Linked DNA regions of Mus musculus: region 2 is reported to be linked to region 1. The links are microRNA targets in miRTarBase. Many come from high-throughput screens and were not tested one by one. Region 1 holds a microRNA gene; the other region holds the end of a gene's coding sequence.

Region 1 (4,068 bases):
ATAAAGTTTGCAAGACCTAGAGGTCTCTCTTCCCAATGATGCCCAACTAGGCCATCTTCTGCTACATATGAGCTCTGGGGATACTGCTTAGTTCATATTGTTGTTCTACCTATAGGGTATGGTCCACTATGTTCATAGCCGCCTTATTACAATAGCCAGAAGGTGGAAAGAACCCAGATGTCTCCCAACAGAGGAATGGATACCGAAAATGTGATACATTTATACACTGGAGTACTACTCAGCTAATAAAAACAATGAGATTATGAAATTCATGGGCAAATGGATGTATCTGGAGGATATCATCCTTAGTGAAGTAACCCAATCATGACAGAAGTGGTTAGTTATGCACTCACTGAGCATCGGATAATAGCCCATAAGCTTAGTATACTCAATTTGTAAAACACAAGAAGAGGGAAGACCAACTGGTGAATACTTCTTTAAGGTTTCTAATGTAATTAAATAGAAGGTTTTAACATAGTCCATGTTTTCCTGAATTTCACCACTCTCTGTTCTGTATTTTATTTTATTAGGTATTTTCTTTATTTACATTTCAAATATTTTGCCATTTACCCATTTCCATCCTATCCCATCTAACCTCCTCCTGCTTCTGTGAGGGTGTTACCTCACCCACCCCCTTACTCGCACTTTCTTGCCCTAGTATTCACCTACATTTGGGATATCAAGCCTTCACAGTACCAAAGGCCTCTCCTCAGATTGATTCCCAACAAGGCTGTCCTCTGCTACATATGCAGGTGGAGCCATGGGTCCCTCCATGTGTACTCTTGGTAGGTTGTTTAGTCCATAGCAGGTATGGGGTTCAGGTTGGTTGATACTGTTGTTCTTCATATAGGTTGCAAACCCCTTCATCTCCTTCATTACTTGCTCTAACTCCTCTATTGGGGACCCTGTGAACAGTCCCAAGTCTTTTCTAGGAGTATGACAAAGTCTCTAGGATATGATGGGACATGTTCGGGCAGTACAAAACAGTTAACTTATGTGACTTAGATCTTTTCCAGGACTTCTTTGTCTGAAGTAAATCTCACTCATACAATGTTTGTGGTGATATAATTTGGTTAAAACTTCAACATGTGAGAGATAAACCTTTTTGATAGCAGGATGCATGGTAACTGTCTTGATATCAATGTAACTTCGGGTGTATTCACCAGAGAATTGTTTATTGTAAAATGTACAGGTTAGAAAACAAATGTAAATAGTAAAAGCAAATAAGCCAAATATAATAATTGTAGTAAAGTAGACAAAAAAAGAAAATAGTAGTCAACATATTGCTTTGTTACAGAGATGAGTATTCATTTAAAGAAAAAACATGAGTAAATGTACATTCAGGGAGAATTTTGATAGATAGTGAGAGAATTTCCTAAGTAGAACAGGATGAAAGCTAGTACTTTATGTATGTTATATTATGTTTATTTATGTTATAATTACAGTTGAAAGTATGGGGAAGGGTAAAGATACGTGAAATCAGCACTATATACCAGGCTATAGTCTTGATTTGTTTCAGTCCTATAAACACATGAAGAACAAATCTTTGTGTAAAAACAAGGATCATCATGCCCTGAAATTGTTGTACTCTGGGTGTAAATGGCAGTATATATGCAGTTACTATCTACCCAGGAACATTAGAACACTAATTTTTTGTACAATAGGGGGAATAGGTACCAAATTTATTGATGACTATTTCATACTTTAGTGTTAAAACAGGTAGGGAATCTGGGCAAAGGCATAAGTTTAAAATATATTTTGGTTTCTTTTCTAGAGTTTATAAGTAGAGGTCAGTTAATAAATTCTAAACTCTATGGAGTACAGTGATAAAATTACTAAGAGTGATGGATCTAGCTGAGGCAATACTGACTTGAAATTGCCCTGTATTTGTTCAAATTCTCTCATTCTCTGCATCCTGCCCAATTCTGGGTCTGTGTTTTTCCATCCACTAGCTTATTATGGCTGATCAAGACACTGGTATGCGTATAGGAGAACATCCTTAGGAGTCATTTAATTGTACATTTAGAAGAAAAATAGAACATGTGTTTCTTTCCTAGGCCCATGACTTAGATTCTTGACCCCAGGATATGGGCTCCATCTTGTACAGCAGGCCTTAAAACCATTGAGAGATTAATTAGTTACTTGCATTGCATTTGTGCCACTATTTCACCAGTACAGCATGTAGGCAAATCACCATGTAGAGCACATGGTTTGTAGTTGTGTTGATGGTTACATTTATCCTCTGGTATCATTCAGAGTAACTTTCAGTACCATGAATGCTGATTAGTAGAGGTGCTGATTCTACAGGTACCACTCTGACTTCCTTGTTCAATAATATCACCTTATGAAGAGTTTTTGCAATTTACAAAATATTTACAAAAGCCTAAGTTGTTTGCTGGAGGAAACCATTTGGCTAATGATCCAACTAGATATAAACAGTTCATCACTGCATGTTTCACTTGGTGGTGAAAGGTGTAAAGTTGAGAGCATGGTTTTCCCCATTATTTAGTGACTCTATTTTGATTTCTCATATATATTAAAAGAAACTTCTATAGTAGAAGGATTCTGTATGACCCTTTACTTGGCCCTTAATGGCTATAATTAGAGGTTTGATCAAGCTAAGAAGACTGTTTATGAATGTGTGAACATTTCATTACAGGCTTTGTATGCAATGCCCTATTTAGAATGGCGCTGATCTGATGAATAAAAAAAAAATGATCAGGGCCTTTCTAAGTAGAGTAAGGCTTACCAACTTCTACGTTTAATATGACTCGTAGATGAATATTCAGAGTATCTATAAGTACATGTAAAGTGCCTTCTGTAATTATGGATGAGCTTGCACATATCCACGTTCTTGTTTTTCTACTTCTATTTATGTATTTATTTATATTTTATTTATTTATCTATTTATCTATTTATCTATTTATTTATTTATTTATTTATTTATTTATTCTTTCCTCATGTATGACATCCAGACTCTAGTTTACTTCTTTCTATACACCTCATAGCCCCTGCCCTACACTTCCCCTGTCCACCAAATCTACTTCTCTTCTCCATTTCCCTTCACAAGAGATCAAGCCTTCATATTTGCTCTACAGTAGATAATATTCATCTAGAAATACATCCATTTCTTTTAGGTTTCATTCTTTTTTTCTTTTTAAAATTTTATTAGATATTTTCCTTATTTACATTTCATATGCTATCCCAAAAGTTCCCTATACTCTCCTTGCACCCTGATCCTCTACCCACCAACTCCCACTTCGTAGCCCTGGCATTCCCCTGTACTGGGGCATATAAAGTTTGCACGACTTAGAGGTCTCTTTTCCCAATGATGGCCAATTAGGCCATCTTCTGCTACATGTGAGCTCTGGAGATACTGGATAGTTCATATTGTTATTCTATCTATAGTGTATGCTCCACTATGTTCATAGCCTCCTTATTTATTATAGCCAGTAGCTGGAAAGAACCCAGATGTCTCCCAACAGAGGAATGGATTCAGAAAATATGGTACTTTTATACACTGGAGTACTATTCAGCTATTAAAAACAATGAGTTTATGAAATTCTTGGTCAAGTGGATGTATCTTCAGGATATCATTCTTAGTGAGGTAACCGAAATACAAAAGATGTCATTAGATATGTACTCACTGATGAGGGGATATTAGCCTATAAACTTAAAATACTCAATATACAATTTGGAAAACACAAGAAAATCAAGAAGGGGGAAGATAGGTGAATACGTCTTTAAGGTTTCTTATGTAATAAAATACAAGGTTTTTAGATACTCCAAGATTTCCTGTTTTTACCACTCTCTATACTGTTTTTTAATTATATTTTATTATATATTTCCTTTATTTAAATTTCAAATGTTTTCCCATTTACCAATTTCCCCCCTATCCCATCTATACTCCTCCTGCTTCTGTGAGGGTGTTACCTCACCCACCCACTTTCTCCCACTTTCCTGCCCTGGTATTCACAAACATTTGGGGTATCAAGCCTTCACAGTACCAAAGGCCTCTTCTCACATTGATTCTCAAAAAGGCTGTCCTCTGCTACATATGCAGGTGGA
Region 2 (4,061 bases), not on the chromosome of region 1:
AAGGTAACCTTGGGCAATTCCAAAACAGTCACTTTTCACTTCTGGGATGTAGGTGGTCAAGAGAAGTTAAGACCACTGTGGAAGTCATACACCCGATGCACAGATGGTATTGTGTTTGTGGTGGACTCTGTCGATGTTGAGAGAATGGAAGAAGCCAAAACTGAACTTCATAAAATAACTAGGATATCCGAAAATCAGGGAGTCCCTGTGCTTATAGTTGCTAATAAACAAGACCTGAGGAACTCGCTCTCTCTCTCAGAGATTGAGAAGTTGTTAGCAATGGGGGAACTGAGCTCATCGACTCCTTGGCATTTGCAGCCCACCTGTGCAATCATAGGAGATGGGCTAAAGGAAGGACTCGAGAAACTACATGATATGATAATTAAAAGGAGAAAAATGTTGCGGCAACAGAAAAAGAAGAGATGAATGGCAGTACCTTTTATATTGGTGTGGAATAGGTTTTCCTGGGTCTGATTTCTGACAAGCTGAAGAGTGTCTACAGCCTGGTTTGCCTGTCTGCCCTCATGGATGCTATTAAAGCTTTGTTTTGTTGAACAGTCAGATACCCAACTCTGTTGCCTTGTGGAAGATGAGTCAATGCAATGCTTCTTAAAGTGGTCTCTTCTCCCTGACCCACAAATCTTTTGGTACTACCATTTTGGGAAGTCAAAAAAGGCTAGTAATTGACCAGAAAACAATTTTGTGGAAATTTGACCTGAAGTTAGTGAAATAAAACTTTGAAGAGTGTATGCCCTAGTGTTTTGTGCTTGTATCTTTTGGGGGGAAGCCTTTGCCAAGAAATTGCAAACGAGGCTTTGTAAACACAAAATGCTAATGAATGGAAATGTTAAGGGAGATCAGTGTGTACACATGCACACACAGCTAAGTTGAACACGCTGCGATAAGAAGGAAGTATTTTTTCTGGAGGTTTTGACAAGGTGGTTTTTAACGTTATTCTGGAAACAATTTAATGCTATCTCTTTAATTCTAGAAAATGTTTAATTTAGTTGGTCTAGCATTAATTAAAATATTTGGGGTATATTCAAGTGCATGGGTTAGTTTTCCTGACAAGCATGTTTTGGTGTATAGTTTTTAGAAATAGCTATGCATCTGTCTACACAGGTTTAAAACAACATTTTGGGGTCTTGGAGCTATTGTAGAAATAGTTCATTGTCAGAAGCGCACTATTACTTGAACCTAAAAAATGACTGATGTAAATATGAGTATGTTGACTAAATACATATGCTTGAATACATGAATGGATTTATAGAGAAAGTGGTGGTGAATTCAGTTAGAGGGAATTACTGTAATACATAGTCTCTAAATGATCTAGTTAAAAGATACTTGTTTTGTTACTATTTACCGGATGGAAACGGATTTTTTTCATATATTTTTGTAGCATTTTGGGAGAAATGAAAGCTTTATAATTACTTGATACACCGTGGAATGAAAATGTAAGGTACCTTTCAGTATGTGCTCTGAGCTTTAATTTTTTTTGTTAATTGGCTGAACAGTATTTCCAGAGCTTCCTAGCTCTGGTTGTAGGAAGAAATGGTACAGTAGTGCAGATAGCAATTAGGAGCCTAGAAAATGAACGGGAGAAGTAGCAAAGCCATTTTAAGACAATTAACTGGTGCTGTTTCTTCTGTAATAAAAACAAAATGAAATTACAAGGAGGGGAGAGCTTTCATTTTTCTCTCCAGGAAGACTTATTTCCAGAAATCACATACAGCAAATCAGCATGTTTCCTATGTTTGAAGCCAACAGCTGTTTGTACTGAAATCACCAAAGGAAGTGCACTTTGCTAACAGGACTCGGTTTGATTTTTGAGCTTTTACTTTTTTTTTTCTTTTCAGTGACACAGGTGAATTTTTGGAACTTTGATTCTTGTTACAAAATGACGTAGCACCCAGTGGAGCGTCCATGTCAAATGTGCCTGTGTTAGGAGTAGAGCTGTGGAGAATAGTTACCAATAAACAGCTGGAGGCATTAGGATAACAATCTCACTTGGAGTTTATATGTATTTCCACTTCTGTAGCTTTTAATTAGATGTGTAAGAAGAACGTTTATCAGCTGGAATGTTTAGTTTTATACTAGTGTGGATTTTCTCTGGTGAGGTTTCCACAGAAGGCTAGTTTCTGGGGGTTCACCCCACCCCCACCCCACCCTTTACTGAGTTCAGTATTCTCCCCCAAATCCCTAGTCTTGATGGGATCATAAAGCTGGTTTTCCTCAATTCTAAATCAGTGTAAATTTTCACTCTGCTTTTAACTGGGAGGCAGATCTCTGAGTTCAAGGACAGCCAGGGATACATAAAGAGACCCTGTCTCAAACAAAACAAAACAAAACAAAAGTTTGTGTTCACTAGCTCTTGACCCTTGTTCTGTACCTTAGAATTGGACCATCAAGTCCATGTTGTTCTTATTTATAGAACAGCAAAATGGCCATTGCATAAATTGTATTTATGTGAGCCACTTCAATTAAAAATTTAAGTTCAAAATGTATATCACCTATTAAAGCTATTAATCACATAAGCTAATGAATCTATGTAGGTTTTTAATTTTAAGTTAAAAAGTATCCTTTTTCAAAGTATATTTGTCTTTTTAAAGTGTCAGGGATCAAACTCTGGGCCTCCTGTATGTGAAGCAGTCATCAATGAACTACATCTCCCAACACCTAAAGTGTATTTCTAAAATAGTTAACTGTATTGGAAATGAGTTGGTTTATACAAAGTATTAATTGGGTTAAACATTCTAATTTAAAATTACTACTAGCAAGCAAAGTTTTAAAATATCCTTTGATACTTAAAGAGTCATATATCCAAACTTATGCTAAAATAGATTATAAATGTTATGGTTTAGCCTAGATAAATTCATTAATAATCATAAAATCCTTACAGGAAGCTAAAAACTGCAGTGTTAGGATATGTAGATGGAAGTCAATGACTACTAGTCTGTAGGTAACTGGATGATAGCTTAAGAATGAGAGTAAAGGGCACATAATTAGAATGTTTTGGTACGAGTTGGGATTATGGGTACAATGGGTGCTTGCCTATCAGGTACAGGGCTCTGGGTTTGAGTGCTAGCACTGCAAAGGAAAAATAAATCACTTACCAGAATGGCTTGTTTAGAAGAGTTTAATTGTTTATAGTGGCCATGAGAGAAATCTGGTATAGTGTATCAGTGTTCTATTTAATGTAATGGTTTTATCATATAAACGATGATTTTAGCGGTAACAAAACACAAAATGTTTCTTCAAAATAAATTAATGCAACTTGGAGTCTTGCGTTAGACTATCATTTGAAGTTCAATTTTTTATTATTGTTTTTCTGAAATAAGGTCTATGTATGTCATCTTCTGGGTGCTGCCTCAGATTATCAGCATATACTATCACACTTAGATTAAGATTTCATATTAAAATTTCATTCTTGCAGGACATTCTGGAAATGGATAGTATTGATGTAAAATAGTCAAGTTCTTTTTTAGCTGAGACTTCCATATGAGCAAATGATACCAAAAATTCACAAATTAATATTAAAGTACTCGGAGACCAAAGATTTTTCCAATAGACTGCAGCCAGGGAATGTTTCAATTTTGTGCAAATTCAAAATACAGAGGTATTTAAGGAGAGGATAGATTTGGAGAAGAATAATCATACTACTAAAAACATGAGATTCAGCAGGGCAGTGGTGGCACACGTGCCTTTAATCCCAGCACTTGGGAGGCAGAGGCAGGCAGATTTCTGAGTTCAAGGCCAGCCTTGTCTACAAAGTGAGTTCCGGGACAGCCAGGGCTACACAGAGAAACCTGTCTCAAAACCAATCAATCAATCAATCAATAAATAACTCTTGAGGTTCAGAGTTAGTGCTAAACCTTGGCATTTTTGTTAGACAATTAGCTCTTTGAGCAAATCCTTTGAAACTTGCCAATGTTTAAGTGACATTAATGTTAAGTGACATGTAGACTCACGTAGCCTGAGAAGGGGAATGGTGTGTTTAAGTCCTTACTGAGTAGGGATTTGTTCAGATGCAGTATGGTATCATTGATAATGGCCACACAAGC

What was found. Region 1 holds the annotated microRNA mmu-miR-465c-5p (UAUUUAGAAUGGCGCUGAUCUG, at 2,678-2,699, shown strand). A microRNA usually pairs through its seed, bases 2 to 8, with sites in the 3' UTR of a target mRNA and lowers its output. Matches are read on the target gene's strand: a 7mer-m8 pairs with bases 2 to 8, a 7mer-A1 pairs with bases 2 to 7 and ends in A, and an 8mer does both.
Region 2: the mRNA of Arl4a is a reported target of mmu-miR-465c-5p. Seed matches in the 3' UTR shown: 7mer-A1 at 1,233-1,239, 7mer-m8 at 1,320-1,326 and 7mer-m8 at 2,238-2,244.

The regions. Positions count from the first base shown.
Region 1 is chrX:66,831,197-66,835,264 of GRCm38, reverse strand. Mir465c-2 (microRNA 465c-2) reads left to right here and starts at 2,668; the gene lies at 2,668-2,748.
Region 2 is chr12:40,032,509-40,036,569 of GRCm38, reverse strand. It overlaps Arl4a (ADP-ribosylation factor-like 4A), which reads left to right. Exons shown (of 2, transcript NM_001039515.1): 2 at 1-3,279. The coding sequence ends at 426. Among named protein-coding and RNA genes, the nearest start is that of Arl4a, 3.4 kb to the left of the region's middle.